Arabidopsis thaliana: one gene and its partners. The protein of the gene in region 2 interacts with the protein of the main gene of each other region in a pairwise test. Each region holds a gene or a part of one and is shown on either strand. Other genes may lie near its edges.

Region 1 (5,029 bases), about 22 Mb from region 2:
ATTTGACAGATTTCAAGAACTTCCTCACTGCAACACCTAAACATAGGAGGAACATTTATAACCGATGAGTCTCTTTTCGCAATTGCAGAACGCTGCCATCAGCTTAAGGTAACAACAATCATCTAACCAAATAATTCTCTCTAGATTCATGAGAATCACGCTTTCGAAATTGGAATCCTTTATGCAGACAATCGGAATGTGGTGTTGCCGTCATGTGACAGAGAGAGGCCTTCTTGTTCTTGTAAACAAATGCAGAAAACTCGAATCCATCAACTTATGGGGAACTAGAGTTCCTGTAGATTGCTTCATTGCTTTACTTACCATCAGTCCTGCTCTTCAGATCAAACCCATGGAATTGCTTCTCAATGCTCAGAATCCACCACCGTTGCTGCATGCTGTCTAGTGTTGCTCATCATATTTCTTGTTTGTTGTGTACATAGTAATTCATACAATTGAATCTGCATATATCTTATGTGTTCTCTCATCAATCAACAACATATATATATAAATATTCAGTAAAGTTTCTATTGGAGTAGAATTGTGTCTATATATATATATATATAAGTTGCATAACAATCAACAGAAGCTGAAGACACACATACACAAGATTTCTGCCTATAGCTCTGCAGTCTACAATACAAGAATCAAATCAGAAACTCTTTCTAAGGCAATTCATGTCAACTTAGGCTCTCTCATTCGTTCTAAAGAAGTGATCAAGATTCTCTAACCTAAGAATCTCTCCACGTGGTTTGATTGGTTGTGTCATAGTAGAAATATCAGCAACGGAAGCAATGAGAAGCAGAAGACAACAATGTTGTTTAGTTGGGCCACAGAAGCTAAAGATCTTGAGAACTGAACTGAACCTGAGTAGCTTCCACCTGAGTTGCTTCCAGCCGTTGAATCCATGCTTGGAGTTCTTGTCTGTACAGTAACATTTTTGCATGAACCATAAGCTGCTCCTGGCTGCAACATCAAGAACCAAAATACGGGTGCCGGTTTTAGATAATTTAGGCTTGTAAGATCTTATTTCATACCCATAAGTAACTTTGGCGCGAGTTAATAAGTTAATACCTGGCAAGCAGAAAGAGTTTCACAACCGCAAAGTACCGGTCCATTCATTCTATCCAGAATTTCGAAAACGCCGCCTCCATCACTTCTCTGCAATATTATGGTTTGTTAGCTAGATCTCGTAAAAACAGTCATATTATAGTTATATGATTGATTCAGTACCATGTAGAAGTTAACAGCAAGAAAGTTTGGCATTCTATTCCCTCCTGACTTGAGACAAGTCCCAACCATCTCAGCAAGTGGAGCTGAGTGCTCCTTGCAAGCGTCTTTCTCAACCGGATATGTCGGGAAGTAATTCATCAAGAATAGCGAAGAACTTTTTGAATTTAAAGGTTGAGACTCTTTTCTGTTAGGACAAGAACCTCGCTTCACTCCGGGATCCCCAGCTTTAGACAATCATAAGAAAATGGCAAGAGAAGGTTATTCTCAGAGACAATTTTCATTAAAGATATAAACTGTGTGTAATACGCACATTCATTTTCAACCATGTATCTCCACTGATACGCAACGCCTTCTTCATCTTCTTTGGCAGCAACAGAAGTGAAAACCAGGAGCCTATGATTCTCTTGCACCATGTCAGTCACAGTAGGCCAATCTTCTCCCTTTCTAGGCATTTTCGAAACAGGGAACCAGTATTTGTCCAAACCAGCGTTGGCAAACAGTGTTGATAAGCCTTTAGGTCTGTGCACATAATCCTCTATTATGATGGTAACAATCTCTGTTGGGTTTTGACTCAGAAATGCCTCAACTTCCCTCAGTATGTTAATTGCAGGTTGCTGATTCAAAAAGAAAACAAAGTTCACATTTACCAATCCAATCAGGTTTCAAGCTTTCGATCCAGCAAGGTTAAGCTGAAGATAAAACTTACAAAAGCGGTGAAGTTGAAACATTGCCCTCGAAGCGAATGGCAAAGCCAGATATCATTGTTGAAGTCATACATATCCAGCATTAGCCCTCTAACTCCATTCTAGAACAAAAATATACATTCAAGAGTTTTATCCAAAAAAAGAGGAAACTATAATAAGAGAGTTGGTAATAAGAGCATTACTTGTAGCTGATTAGTAATAGTATCTTCTTGATTGTAAAATGTAATCCTCTCAACACCTGGCAAAAGTGGTGCATTTGCATTGCTAAAGGCATTATGAGTCATCAACCATGTATACTTGTTAAAAGGCAATCCATTGATCTACAAAAAACACACACACAAATTTCATCACCACATCTTCAAAGTTCAAAACTTTTGATACAACCAAATGATCTAGACTATCTTTTAATGCAACCAAATGAAATCTTCAGCAAAACCCATCTTCAAAGTTCAAAACTTTTGATAGACCAAGTGATCTAGACTATCTTTTGAAACAACGCATCTTCAAAAATTGGAAACTCTAGAGAAATCCAACTAATTATAGGAACTAAATCTCACAATGGAAGTTGGACTTGTGGCTTGGCCTCTTGTGCAGACGGGTTTACTTCTTCCAACGGCAGGACAGTCTCCACAGTATAAACCAGAGACACAATCAGTAGCCGAGGAGCATGAATCCAGCAGCTGAAAGAGACACAAAAATGCAAAATCCCTAAAGATTTAGACCCAAATTTGATAGCCATAAACCAGAGAATAATAAGCAAAGAGAATCAAGAACCTGGCAATTTCCATTGGAGCAAGCTGAGGAAAAAGAGAAAGAAAGAAGAAGAAGAAGAAGAGAGACAGTCACGGCTCTGCATAAGCCATTGATGCACGCCGACATCGCTCCGTAGCTTATGCAGAGATAGAGAGAGAGATATGAATGATGTTGGATCTACTTGGGGGGGTTTTCAAAGACGAGACAAAGAGATGTTTAGGTACTAAAACCCGGGCTTCATCGATTTGTTTTGTTAATCCTTGAAAGAGAGGTACAAAAGAAAAAGATTAGCTTTGGTTTTCTTTTTCTAAGACAAGGTTGAATCTTTTTCCCACCTAGCTCCTAGAGAGAAAATGAAGAAACGATTAGTAAAGAAGATAAACCACCTTTCAAAAGGAGTTCAATTTTGAGCATAATACAGTTTAACATTATAATAACATAACTCAAAACTACAGTTTCTAGTCTTGTACACCAAACATATGGAGTGACATTTTTGTCAAGATTTATGGAAACAGTGATCTTGTAAGAGTTTATCAATATAAGTAATAATGGTTTTATATTATTTCTTCTAGTTGTTAGGTGAGGTCTATCATAAAAAAAAAAAAAATTATTTCACAGATCACTATTTTCATTCTCTAAAATTTGCTCAGTTATAAGATTTTTTCACCTATTATTAGATGAAGATATCTTTTTTCTATTATGGTTAACGGTGCTCACATGCGTGGGGACACTCTTGTCTTGTTGCTTGTCTCTTTGCTTCTTTCAATGAAAAATGTTACAATTTTCATCATCTTACAAAAATTACTCAAACATCTAGGTGAAATTTTATTCTTAACGAGATTTATCATACCATGCCTATTTCATCTGCAGATTCGTCAGCAAGTGACGTATCGAATTAGTGACACTCTTAACGATCAAATGATTAATTTCCATTAAACCAAAAAAAAAAATGATTGATTTCCATAACCGATTTATTCACAATTGGTGATTTAACACACAAGTTGCTGTAATATACTCTTGATGTGTTTTTAACTTGAGATTTTTTTTTTAATACACAAAAAAAAAAAAAAACTTTTGTAGTTTGGACATTTACGTCCATTGAGTATGACGTCGTCGTCGTGTAAATTCTCTCTCTGCCTCTCGCTATAACGCTAGGCCCATTTACGTATTTTACTGAGCCTTTTTAGTTGGACCCAAACTCTCTCTTTTTAAGCCCATGACCCAAGTAATGTAATTAATCATCTTGTGAACTTGTAAATGAGGAAAACAAGATGCATATCTCCGGTTTAAAAAGCGTTTTAATGACGTTGAAAGCAAATATACAAAGCCAAAACATAAAATTTCCTTCCTTTTTTTGTTGAAAGCAACATTTATTATTTTTTGTACTTATTCACTCTAAAATGATATTTTTCCATTGAAGAAAATTCAATAAAGAAATGTTTTTCTATAAAAAACCAATTCAACTGTATTAGAGCTATAATTAAAACAGAATCCTTATTTTCAATAAAATAAATCTTCCGAATCCAGCTAAAGTTCCATTTTTATTAGCTGTCACAATTTTTTTAATTGAATTTTTAACATTTTGGGACTTCAAACTACCCAACAATTGTAAATCAGTGGTCTTTTTCTCCTTGAACTTTTTTTTGGTATAAACCTTTTTTCCTTAAAGTTGCTAAATCCTTTTATCCATGGAGGCACTGAAAAGTGGGTTATATGCATTATTTATCGTTTAAGCCTTAATTTGGTATATATATTTTTCCTTTAACTGAGCTACAATATATTTAGTGGTTTTTCTTTGTTCATAACGTCTTTATTTTTTCTATTACTTTATCAATATTAAGACTATCCTGTCCACTCAAGTATTTGCATTTGAATGGAAGAGTTAAATGGTGATGATACTTGAAAGTGTTAATTATCTATATAAATTCAGCTTAATCTAGCCCCTTGAAAAAAAATTTTGAGTCAGGTAATATGTTTCTCCAAAAGTATGGATCCAAACGAAGACAATTCTGAGATACCGGATAGTCCTTTTAGCTTCATGTGGCTACTATTTGGAGACGACTGGGATCTATGGGACACTTACTCACCAGTTGATGCTGATGACATCTCACCAGATCCAACGCTTGATGTGAACGGTGATGGTCCGGCAATAGAGCCCGGTTCCCTTCTGAGGACAATTAGTTGGGTAATTATCTATTATCTAATGTTTTTTTTAAGAGAAATAATTTATTTGGATATAATATAGACATGAAAATTGTTTAGGAAACAACGTTCGAGCAGGACTCGTTACAATCATGGAACGATGAACAATCTGAAACAACATCAGTAGTAGAGTATACAGA
Region 2 (4,750 bases):
ATCTTACTTCTCCTGAACCAAGACTCTGATCTCTTATCCGGGTTTGGTGATAAACAGAGATACTTCCCGGTTACAGTAGCCATATCAACATATTTGGCATTATCCTCGCTCTACACTGTATGGGAAGAAGTTTGGTTTGGTGGAAACACAGGTTGGGGAGTCGAAATTGGAGGCCGTGAATGGTTTTTTGCGGTGAAGAACCTGGCTCTCCTAATACTCACAGCACCAGGTCACATCATATTCAACAGGTACGTTTGGAGTTACACCACCAAACACACAGACGCGTCGCCGATGCTGACCGTGCCACTTAGCTTTGCAGCCGTAATAATAACAGACGTGTTTCAAGTTAGGGTTCTGGGAGTTTTAGGCATTGTTTACTCTGCGGCTCAGTATGTGATATCTAGGCAACAATATATGAAAGGGCTGAGGTATATTTAGACAGTCGTAGGATTGATTAGTAATGTTTTCGACCCTTTTTGTAACAGAATTTGTGAAACAGTGTTTTCATTTCCCAGCTTTGTTTCTCAGTGGATGCATTGGAAATTGCCAATATACGACGTTTGAACAACTTAATTTTATTGGTCTTCTTACAAACGAACAATCACGTTTAGCGGATTTTCCACCCTTAAACATTAGCTATAGGAAAGCAAAGTAGGATGATACAATTACTGCTGTTTTATCAAAAAGAATAACGAGAAGAGAACACAGAAGTGGTGTCTTTAAAGAACAGCACTACTCTTGTCTTCCTCAGACTCGATAGCTCGGTACTTGTACCTATGCGCTGACCAAAGGAACACACAGAAATTCAAAAAGCTCAGAAGTGTGAGCAACCAGTACAAGCAGTCGAATCTCCCCGTGTTTATGTTCTGCGATAACCACGATTTCCCATCTGAGTCCCGAGTCGCAGCCTTGACAATATTGTTCAAAATGGTGGCAGCAAAACACCCTAACCCGCCGGCTAGAGCAGCGTAAGCCGAACCAATACTCTTCATAGCATCCGGAGCTTCCTCGTAAAGGAACTCCAATAGCCCTACTATGCAGAAAACCTCTGCGATTCCGATGAGACAGTACTGGATTAACAACCAGTACGCGGTTAGATCAGGCATTTGGGTCAAGAAGTTGAACTCAAAACCATTTTGTATCGCGTAATGTCTCCTGTAGTTCTCGAATAGCCCAGCCCAAGCTACTGATATGATTGAAACTGCTAGCCCTATGCCCACTCTTTGAAGCTGGGAAGCACCATGAGGATTGCCAGTGATTCTTCTGGTGATAGGGACGAAGACAGAGTAATAAAGGGAGAGAATGAGGAAAATGCTTAGGCCTGGGAAAACTGGCATGCAGGTCACTGGAAGCTTGAGGTGTTGAATGTGTGTGTTGAGTGTGTAAGCTTGTTGCACTGAGAGTGTAAGATACTCAGTCAAGACCAGACTCAGCATTATAGTGCATGTTGGGATTGGAATCAATCTGATCAGAATCTTCACTTCCTCTACTTGTGTTACTGTGCATAGCTTCCATGGAGATGGTTCCAATCCATCTTCTTTCAACTCAAGTGCCGCCTTGTCTAGCCATCTGCATATGAATTCATTCGACTGATAAATACTAGTATTAAGTTTTATTTTCCTTATAGGAAGATGTACACAAAAGAAGAAGCCTTACATGAAATCATTGGAATGAGGGATTTTACGACTGCCATTAATAGCAGATTTCAAGCCAGGAACTTCGTAAAGACCGATGAACTCACTGCTTGTGAAAGCTGCATTTCGTTTGCGGAAAGCGGCAACTAAGACCTGAGCTACCCTAGTCAAGGGACTACCACCAGGCAACCTATGCCGATAAAGCGGTGTACCAGCAAAGAACAAAGCATTAGAAATCCCCATGGCTACGGCCAATGTGCCAAAAGCCATACCCCAACCAAGTTCCATTTGAACATATACCACCAAAGTGAAGGCAATGATTGCGCCTAAAGTGACCGATAGATAGAAGAAGTTGAAGAAACGGTCTAAATGTGTCTTGTAGTCTTTGCTCTTCTCATCAAACTGGTCAGCACCAAATGAGGAAACACATGGCCTTATACCAGCAGCTCCGAATCCGGTTATGTAGAGAACCGTGTAGAGATAAAGCATTTGCCAAGATTTGGCTTCTTCACAATTTCCTAAGAGCAATGATAACTGGCCACAGTTGCTCTGGTCTGGTACGAACATCTTCAAACTTGCCCCCAATGTTATTCCTATCAAACCCTTTTCACATGCAAAACAAAAGAAAAGAAAAGATTTCAAAGTATCCATCACATAACATATGTTCGGTCTTGCGTATTAGACGATGTTCTTCAAATTGCACCATTTGCACAAGACCTTAACCATAAGTCATAAATAAATAAATAAACAAAATACAGAGAACAAAACAGTACTACTTACGACAAGATACATGGTAGTGAAGATGGCAATAGTCCAGTATCGACCCAAGTAAGCGTCGGCTAAGAAGCCTCCAAGAACAGAGGAGGCTTGAGAGATGCCAAGGAAGTTGTTGACTGCGTTTGATGAACTTTCAAAAGGCCTATGCATTACGTAGAACATGAACGCCACCATGTTCACCGAGAGTCCGAAATACGCCATTCTCTCTGCCATTTCATTTCCTAAAACATTGCAACCATTCCACCAAAACTAAGCTGCACTGCACGTAGAACTACTGATAATCTAGATGTAAGTGAAAAGAAAGTTACCAAAAATGAAGAAAGCTGCGATCCAACCACCGGTTTTGGAAAGATTGGCGATGGGTTTGCCATGGATGTTAACGGGAGTGGTTCCTCCGGTATAGCCACGGCCAAGAGCAAGACGTCTGTTATCTGATTCTATGAAGAACACACTCAACTGCTTCCTATGATGCACAGAGGAGCTTCCCGGAGTCTCGGGGACACTCACCGGGGATTTAATCTCAGAAGCAACCATAATCAATGATATTTTCTCATAAAACCATGGAAACTGAAAGCATCAGAGTGACCAAAAACAGCAAGAGAGCTTAAGTTAATAAATGAAATAATTAATCCAGCCAAACAAAATCTGTAAGCAGAAAAGGATGTATGAGGATTGGTTAGAGAAATGTATAAATGCAGTAGCTTAAAATGGGAAGATGGAATTAAATAGACGGAGCTTAGCTGGTAAGTGGTAGATATAGGACTGGCATTTATTGCACGTGGACTCCCATGATGTCCACAGTTTCAACGTTCAAGAAAGGACTTATTTAGAGAAATGTGGATTCATTTGATATGTTTTGTCCTTGAAAGACATAAACTCATTGAAGGACTTCTACAATGCGTCACTGCAACTTGTTCTTTTATTTTTGCAGTCTCCATTAATGATGACTCTGACATTGAACCAACATTGGCTACTCAATAAAGTCAAAACAACAGAAGCTGCTTACACTGGTTTTTGTGTTCACATTTCATTTTATTCTAAACTTTCTATGAAATGTTATAATAACTTACCTCACTATAAGGGATAATATAACTAAAAAGAGGAAGCAGAATTAACATGATGAACAGTTAGTTGGTGATGCATGGCTATTTTTTTTTTTAACACTCCTAAAAAGAGCTAACATTATATGATATAAACTGAGCTCAATTTACACAAATGTGCCAATGTAGTATACACATCATAAATAAATATATATGTACGTGAGTTAAGACTGTCGATGTTACATCAATTGGGTACAATTTTGAGGAGTTCAACATCAAAGAGAAGTGTCTTGTCTATGAGCCCTTGGTTCCTCAGCACAAAATCTAATGCACGTTGTCCCTGCGCAAACATAAAGAGACAACATTTAAAACTTATGTCTTTCTTATACATGTTTACATAAAACAAACATAAGGCTCACAGAGAAAGTCATCGGCCTCGGCCCACTCTTGTTGTAGTCATTATCCGGGTATCCTAGTTCTGGCGGTACAATTATCCTGCAATACCAAGCTAATTATTTACACTGATTCATTCTACCGTCTACCATTTGTGTGAAGAGTGAGTTCTATATGAAAAACATATGGAGGATGTGTAGAGTTAGAAATATTAGAAAGATGTTGAACCTTCTGATACCACCGAGAGCCATCCCAGAGACAGCCTCCTCAAAAGCAGGTATCACCTGGAACACCAAAATCATGCAGCATCCAGAAAGAAACAATTCATACAATCAGTAACAAAATCCATTCTTTAAACCGGTAAAACCCATATAGCAACTAGAAGGACTTGGAATTTCGCCCACCTCATTGGATCCTAAGGTAAATTTGAAAAATTCCTTATCATCGCCCTACAGATTCACAAAAAGAAAACAAAGATTAAGGACTGTATCATTGTAGCTAATGAAACAAAAAAAAAAAGAGCCAAAACGTGTTTATACCTCAAAAGAACCCCCTTTTGTTTTATTGCGAGCTTCAAATATGCGTCCATAGTACCCTATTGTGTAACCGTCCCAGTCAACCTAACATACCCAGCTTCAATTATTTATAACTACTAGCAAAACCTATGGTCTTTGAAACATTAATTTGCTAACATAGATACAAGCAAAGCAAACTCCAAACTCTCTAACCAGAGCAAACTTCTAGATAAACTTGAGACCAAGGATACAAAACCATAGATATGCAGAAATTTCCTTACCACAACTTTGTCTCCCTTTTTTGCTATAGGCCCAGTTCCTACTCGCAAATCCTGCAGCATCTCAAATCTTCAAGTTAATGATCACCGCATAGTCTAAACTATATTAGATA
Region 3 (6,535 bases), on a different chromosome or scaffold from region 2:
GAAATTGTCTCCACAGTAGCAAAGGATGAAAAAATCTACCAAATGAAGAATGTTGGGAGCTGATCTCTAGATTTCCTTTTGGAAATATAATCAACCAAGAACTAGAAGGAATTGGGAAAAGGATTGCAGAACAGTGTAAGGTCTTGAACGAGCCATTGCATCAAAGAATTTCTCAAGCTACACTAACAGTATCCTTCCAGTACTTAAACCAAGCTATGACTCTCTTCCTCCTCAACTTAAGCGATGCTTTGCCCTCTGCTCAATTACTGCTGCTATGGATGGCAATAGACCTCTTATACCAACCAAGGAGCAGCACAAGATTGGAAAAATTACCTTGGTGATTTAGTTTGCTCAAATCTTTTTTTCAGAGATTGGATATCACCATGACAAGCTTTGTGATGCATGATCTTATGAATGATTTGGCAAAAGCTCTTTCAGGATGACATTTTTCATTTTCTACAAGCCAATGTGATATTGTAATCATATAGTACTAAAGATATGACAACATTACTAAATTAAATCATATAGTAAAAATCCACAACACACACTTTGATAGATCAATTGAAATATTGTAATAAATAGATTTACAGCTCATAAATTTGAAAAACTAGACCCTAAAGGCACACTTTCAATCAGATCACACTCAGATAGATTTCTTGAAGTGAAGGAAATAAAGAACAAATGTTGATCACTACAAGCCTACAAGGTAAGTTTCATATGGTGAGGTTTTCTTCTACTACAAGGAACGATCCTATGATCTTGCCACCGAGATCTGGGAATGTCTCGTATCCAGGAAGAGAACTCACTTTGCCTGTTCTATCAACTTGAACTGGATACTTAAGAAGATGACCTGGCATCTCTGTGACTTCTTCCGCTGCATATTGTCTCCAATTCAGCTCACTCAATTGCCTAACTCGTCTCACGCATTCCATGTTCTCTGGTTCCTCGAATTCTTGCTCTAGAAACCCTAGATGTTCTGCCCATAACGACATTCTATATCCAAAGATCTGCAAGAAATTGAGACAAACCAGGGTTCAGACATGTTAAAGAGAACATACATTGGTGGGTTTCTAGATTTTCGTCTTAGAATGCTATCCTAGATTGAGAAGTAGAAGTCTCTGAAAGTCTTATTTACCTGACCACGAGGACGAGAACCTTTCTTAGCCCATGAATGGTGTGGCTGATACCCTCCCATAGCGATTTCAGTGTCTCTAGTTCCTTCCAAGGATCTCTGGTTGATATTCGCGGAACCAATTAAGACAAACTCATCATCCACTACCATACCTTTGGAATGAACATATATCATGAATCTCCGACTCTTCAAAGCTTGTACCTAGATTGGTTTGTCGTTTTAATCAGTAAGCGAACCCATTAAGGCAAAATCGAAGATTTCAAAAGAAGACATTTAATATATGTATACCTGTGCAGCATTTAGCTGAGGTGGCTTCCGAGGACTATTATATACGCTAACAGTTCCATCAGGAACCTCTCTGGTTCCAACCTCTCTGGTTCCAAGACAGAAAAAGTTCAAAAAGTCTTGTGGCTCAAGCTGGCCATCAAGACCAACTTCCACAAGTGCCTTGTAGATGGTTTGATACATCATTTGCATGGTTTTGTGCTGCAGAGGTTGTGAAAAATTCCGGTAAAAAGAAGGTGAGATCGGGTTGTTTTTAGCAAAGAATCAAAAAATTATTTTACCTGCCAGTAGAGAATTCTTTGAATAGGATTACTTGTTGGAGCACCTTCTGGCCACATTGGAATGACAATATAAGCAGCAAACTTTTCCCTTGCTCTAATTTTGTTAGCAATCTTCAGCGCGATTTCCATCGGGATTAGATTATTCGCACCTGCAATGCCAAAACTCCTTGTTTACATATTGTACGCATCGATTACTAAGCTTTCCTTCAAAAGCTTTAAAGTTTCTTACCCAAGTTCTTGTTTGAATCCCAATTGAATGATGATCCAAGAAAATATTGGTTTTCAATGTAAATGAAGTGCTGAGCAGATCGTATGGCTTTAACATAAGCTGCATGTATGCTCATATCTATGAGAATGTTCTTCCCACATAGAAGGTTCTGTTCATGAATACATAATCAGTCGGAGATAGCAACATGATGACAAACAAAAACAGCTCAGAGTTGTGGTGCTATCTTACTCTTCCAGTAGCTTCCTTTGGGTCCTTTGGAAACCCTTTAACTGAACTCGAATCAATTGAACGGAAAACCTAAAGATTAATATCATTGGAGAAAAAATGAGATTCTTTTTGTCACCACCACAAATAACAATAACTAGCAAAAAAATTAGACTTGCTAAATTACCTGAACATGCCAAGACTCTGGATCATTATCATTAGCAGAAGAAGCTTCGGAAAGTCCCATTATGTCAGGAATTCTGTCTAACCTAAGCAAAGAATCATCAGAAGAAGTTCTTAGTCTCCCAATTCCGCGAGGTTTTGAAGCCTTCATCCAGCGTTCCTCAAAATTAGCAAGCACATCATATGCAGCTGGACCATCAATCTTGCTGTGCAGATCATGCCATGGTTCTCTTGGTCCATCATCCGCAGTAGTCTAATAAGAAAAACAGAATTTACATGGATCAAGAATAGCGGATTCTAATTCCAAAATTGCAACCAAGCAGGTTTTTTCTTAAATGATTACCACAAAATTTGGGTTATGGAAGTCATCTTTATGGATTGTCTTTAATGTCCTGAAGAGAGGATGCTTGGGAGTATCAAATCGTCCGTTGCACAAGTCTAGCCCTCCAACAAATGCTACAATCTTTCTTCGGTTCTGAGCTGCTTCAGCATCTACAATCATAGTTTTCTGATGATGCGTGTAGATTGTTTCAACTTCCTGATCATCATAATGACACTCAAATTTTAGACGCTGAAGCTATACACACAAGAGTTTACACAGTAATGAAGTAACTAATGAGCATCTTACAGATTTTTTTATGAAGCTGTGACCTTTCCCTCCATATCTAGGACAAAGGAGAACTTGCACCGATGAGTGCTTGAAAAAACGGCGAGTCTCCTCATCGCTTGTGTTCATAAGTCCTTTCTACATGCAACAAAACACCAGCTTTTAATTAAATAGATAGAAGGATTGTAGCTAAGTTAGTATAATTATCTAATTGAAGCAAACTCATGCTTTCCAATAAGATAAACAGAAAAAGGGTCAGAACTGAAACAATAGAGGAAAGTATGAAATGCAACTGAAACAACCAAATATGTGACTATGTGAGAAGTTAAGAACAACACATTAGACCATTCAAAACTGTGTACAAACAGAGAGGCACTCCATAGAATTATTTAAGTGATAAGCTATAAATCAAAATGGAGAAACAAAACAGAGAGGCACTCCATAAAATTATATATATATATATATACATGTTTGATTTTATGGGTAAGCAATAATAGAATGTCTTAATCAGAAAAAAACAGAGTTATGTAGATTCTTACTGTACTGAATCCCAAAAGACTCCTTGAAGTTGGATCATCCCACACCAAAACCAACACTCTAACACCTTCTTGAGATTTGACTTTAAGCAACTCTCCTAATGTACCTTGGGTCGGATCATTGTTACGACGAACCAGCCTAACCGGATGGAAAACTGACCAACCTGTGATATAAATCAACCTCCTTGCCCGTCGTATCGCATCAGCCATATCTTCCCAGCATTTTCCATGTCTATACTGAATCCCACCATCAAGATGTACACTCGGAAGAGTACCGTCATCAACATGAGCATCCTGATAAAGAGTAACCCTACCGCCTTTCCTTAAAGGGAAGTATGTACCGGGAACTCCTACACATTCAACACCAAAACCAACACCCTTTTGGTAAAGTCTCATTCTTTCCATTGGAATATACTGAATAGACAGACTCAACACAGCACCTTGTTTACAAGGCTTTCCTCTACTGTTAAGTATCGGAAACAGCCCTTCGATTCTATTCCCGGAACACAACTGCTCGGTTGGGATTTCAACAGCTCCAATGATCTGTGATCCAATAATATCACTGTCTTTCACAACAAAGTGAACTTTCGCAGCACTATGAGCAACTGGTACATCAAAATGCTGCATCCACACAGGATTCTCACTATTGCTAATAACAAAAGTTCTACCAATCACAGCACCAGAGATAGAGACAGTAACATAAGGATCACTTGTGATCTTAGAAGAATTCTCACCATCCACTTTATGATTCCTCCGACCTAACCCAAAAAACATCCCACCAACAAGGGTGTTATGGAAACCATCCATGTTAGGAAGATGTTTAGCTTCCTTAACCCAAATGTCTAAGTTACCATGTAATAATTCAACCCTCAAAGAGCCACTACTTGTATCAAACGGCACGAGTTGCTTGTCAAGCCACTGGCCAAACTCGTTGCTTGACCCTCCTCCCATAGACATAGTCTCGTTATAAACTGGATGATACGCCATGAAAAACAAAACTCAAAACGCAAAAGTAGGAAACTCTTAGTTGTCAGATCAAATCTCAAGCATAACCCAGTTCAGTGAGACAAAAGATCGATCACTTGGTGCTTGGTGGGGAATAATCGAGAGATCAAGATTCAACAAAAGGATAAAACTTTGAGATAATACAAACTCAGAGCAAATCAATGAATAAATGTGGATCTAAAAATATGGGCAAATTCAAATTAAAGTTCAGGTTTTTGTGAAGAAGAAGGTGAGAGGGAGCGAAGGAAAACGTTGACTTGAAACGGAAGAATCGGAAAATTTCAAGGATTTTTGGCTGCCGTTGTGGAATCGTCTAACTTTAGCCATTAATGACACATATATAAGATGTTTCATCTTTACTTAAACACAAATGCCAAATAAACTATTTGTGTTTTAGTAACGACGACTAAGAAAGAAGACTTCCCCACTTTGGTTTTTAGCTGCTCACGAAACTCTTTCTCTCTGGTCCCTCTTTTGATGTAACTTCAATTTGATTGACATAATTATTAAATTAAATCATATAGTAGTGTAATTAATAAATAAAGCATGAAATTTTCTTTAAATGAAATCAGTTACAAGCTTTAAATTTTTTTTTTGCTACTATGTCTTTTTGGATCCCAGATTAGACATGTAAACTAAGAGCATCTCTAATGGTTAACCTTGGATCTTAACAATTATTTCTATTAAAGTTTTGTTATTTCTAAGCTAAGAACAAAATGAGAGTATCTTATAAAAATAGTCCTCCAATGGTTAAGGTTCATAAGGGACAAAAATCAAATTTTTGTATTTAGATGTCTTTCAATACAAGGAACCATACAAACTTTTTTCATCCTTTTCGGCCCATGAATCATTCCAGTTATGTGTAGCCCTATGATGACTGAATGTCTAGCCCTATGATGGCTCTTGGCATGTAATTAAAGAGGTATGTTGCATTTAGAGATATTACCTGAGTGTAGCAATCGATTGCGGTTGTAAAATCTTTGGATCGGAAAGCTAAGTCCCCTTGCTTCTTTGAAAAGAGAGATTCCTGCATCTGGGTTGTCCACATTTGAAACGAGAGCTGCAGAAGAAGGTAAATAAAATCATATTCAAAACAAGTCCCTAATGCAAAAGACTAAGTAGTAAGCGAGAGGAAGGAATAGATTAACACCTCAATGGCAATTCCTTGTATCCAATCTTACTAAGTATTTCCTGTATGGCTGTAAGATCCATTCTTAAGCAGTATTTCCTGTATGGCTGTAAGATTCACTCTTAAGCATGCATCATCACCAAAGGATGTCTGAGAAAGAATGAGGCAGGAAAAACGATGATGATCATCATTTAGATTTTAGTAAGGACTGAACTAGAGATTCCTTCCAAGAACTATCCAGCAAGAAACAAAGAGCCAGGTCCTACATTACATCTAAAGTTTATATATCTTCTATTAGTAGAGAACTTACATGGCTCGGTGGAATATGTTTTCCACTAATGAGATCGAGCAAAACGGTTCCAAAACTGAAAACATAATACACTCTCTGGTGTAACTCTACCTGACACAAGATGAAGAAAGTGGATTTAGCTTTGGGAACTTTGTGCCCTGAAATATTTTGGACATATATAAACATGAAGCAGAGAGAGTTTTACCCGTTAGCAAATTTCTCTGTAGGAGTAAATGCCAAGTTAGTGCTATATAACTCTTCCCATCTCTGCTACTTTTCATGAGTCCAAAGCAAGACAACCTGGGATTCCCATCCTAAAAACCGATGAAAGATAAACAAAATTTTACGACTTCAAATACAGATCACTCAGAGAGATAAAGAAACATTGAATCAATATATTCACCAAAATAAATGCCAGCATTACAGAGCTTGATTAAGTAAGGTTCATGCTTAAGCAGGAAAAGGAGAACGTTCAAACACAAACCATCACCCAAATCTATCGTTAACTACCAGACTCACTAAAATTAATTCCAATTGACAAGATCTAAGAAAACCCAGTTTCGAAATTTGATGGTTTCAATTCCAATCATCAATCTCGGCTAAAAGGAACTGAAAAAAATGAAAACAGAGAGATACGTACCATGGGAAATAGATT

Evidence for each region.
Region 1: the proteins of AT5G13400 (region 2) and AT5G67130 interact in a protein complementation assay, tested with the Arabidopsis thaliana proteins (one large-scale study listed by BioGRID).
Region 3: the proteins of AT5G13400 (region 2) and PLDGAMMA3 interact in a protein complementation assay, tested with the Arabidopsis thaliana proteins (one large-scale study listed by BioGRID).

What each region holds. Positions count from the first base shown.
Region 1 is NC_003076.8:26,789,383-26,794,411, reverse strand, and holds AT5G67130 (PLC-like phosphodiesterases superfamily protein), read right to left. Parts: upstream 3,114-5,029; 5' UTR 2,814-3,113; coding exon 2,709-2,813; intron 2,615-2,708; coding exon 2,492-2,614; intron 2,255-2,491; coding exon 2,117-2,254; intron 2,036-2,116; coding exon 1,937-2,035; intron 1,845-1,936; coding exon 1,541-1,844; intron 1,455-1,540; coding exon 1,231-1,454; intron 1,159-1,230; coding exon 1,072-1,158; intron 964-1,071; coding exon 763-963; 3' UTR 530-762; downstream 1-529. Other genes in the region: AT5G67140 (F-box/RNI-like superfamily protein), read left to right, coding at 10-108, 188-403; AT5G67120 (RING/U-box superfamily protein), read left to right, coding at 4,675-4,872, 4,950-5,029.
Region 2 is NC_003076.8:4,296,135-4,300,884, forward strand, and holds AT5G13400 (Major facilitator superfamily protein), read right to left. Parts: upstream 3,131-4,750; 5' UTR 2,946-3,130; coding exon 2,720-2,945; intron 2,633-2,719; coding exon 2,415-2,632; intron 2,238-2,414; coding exon 1,657-2,237; intron 1,570-1,656; coding exon 720-1,569; 3' UTR 554-719; downstream 1-553. Other genes in the region: NEF1 (no exine formation 1), read left to right, coding at 1-438; AT5G13410 (FKBP-like peptidyl-prolyl cis-trans isomerase family protein), read right to left, coding at 3,696-3,791, 3,871-3,946, 4,073-4,128, 4,249-4,293, 4,384-4,464, 4,641-4,691.
Region 3 is NC_003075.7:7,121,439-7,127,973, forward strand, and holds PLDGAMMA3 (phospholipase D gamma 3), read right to left. Parts: upstream 4,880-6,535; 5' UTR 4,445-4,879; coding exon 3,461-4,444; intron 3,060-3,460; coding exon 2,943-3,059; intron 2,853-2,942; coding exon 2,658-2,852; intron 2,568-2,657; coding exon 2,319-2,567; intron 2,225-2,318; coding exon 2,156-2,224; intron 2,076-2,155; coding exon 1,928-2,075; intron 1,848-1,927; coding exon 1,699-1,847; intron 1,619-1,698; coding exon 1,421-1,618; intron 1,334-1,420; coding exon 1,136-1,333; intron 1,008-1,135; coding exon 714-1,007; 3' UTR 527-713; downstream 1-526. Other genes in the region: AT4G11845 (Interleukin-1 receptor-associated kinase 4 protein), read right to left, coding at 5,456-5,522, 5,613-5,698, 5,902-5,987, 6,086-6,194, 6,521-6,535. UniProt on the Arabidopsis thaliana protein: Hydrolyzes glycerol-phospholipids at the terminal phosphodiesteric bond to generate phosphatidic acids (PA).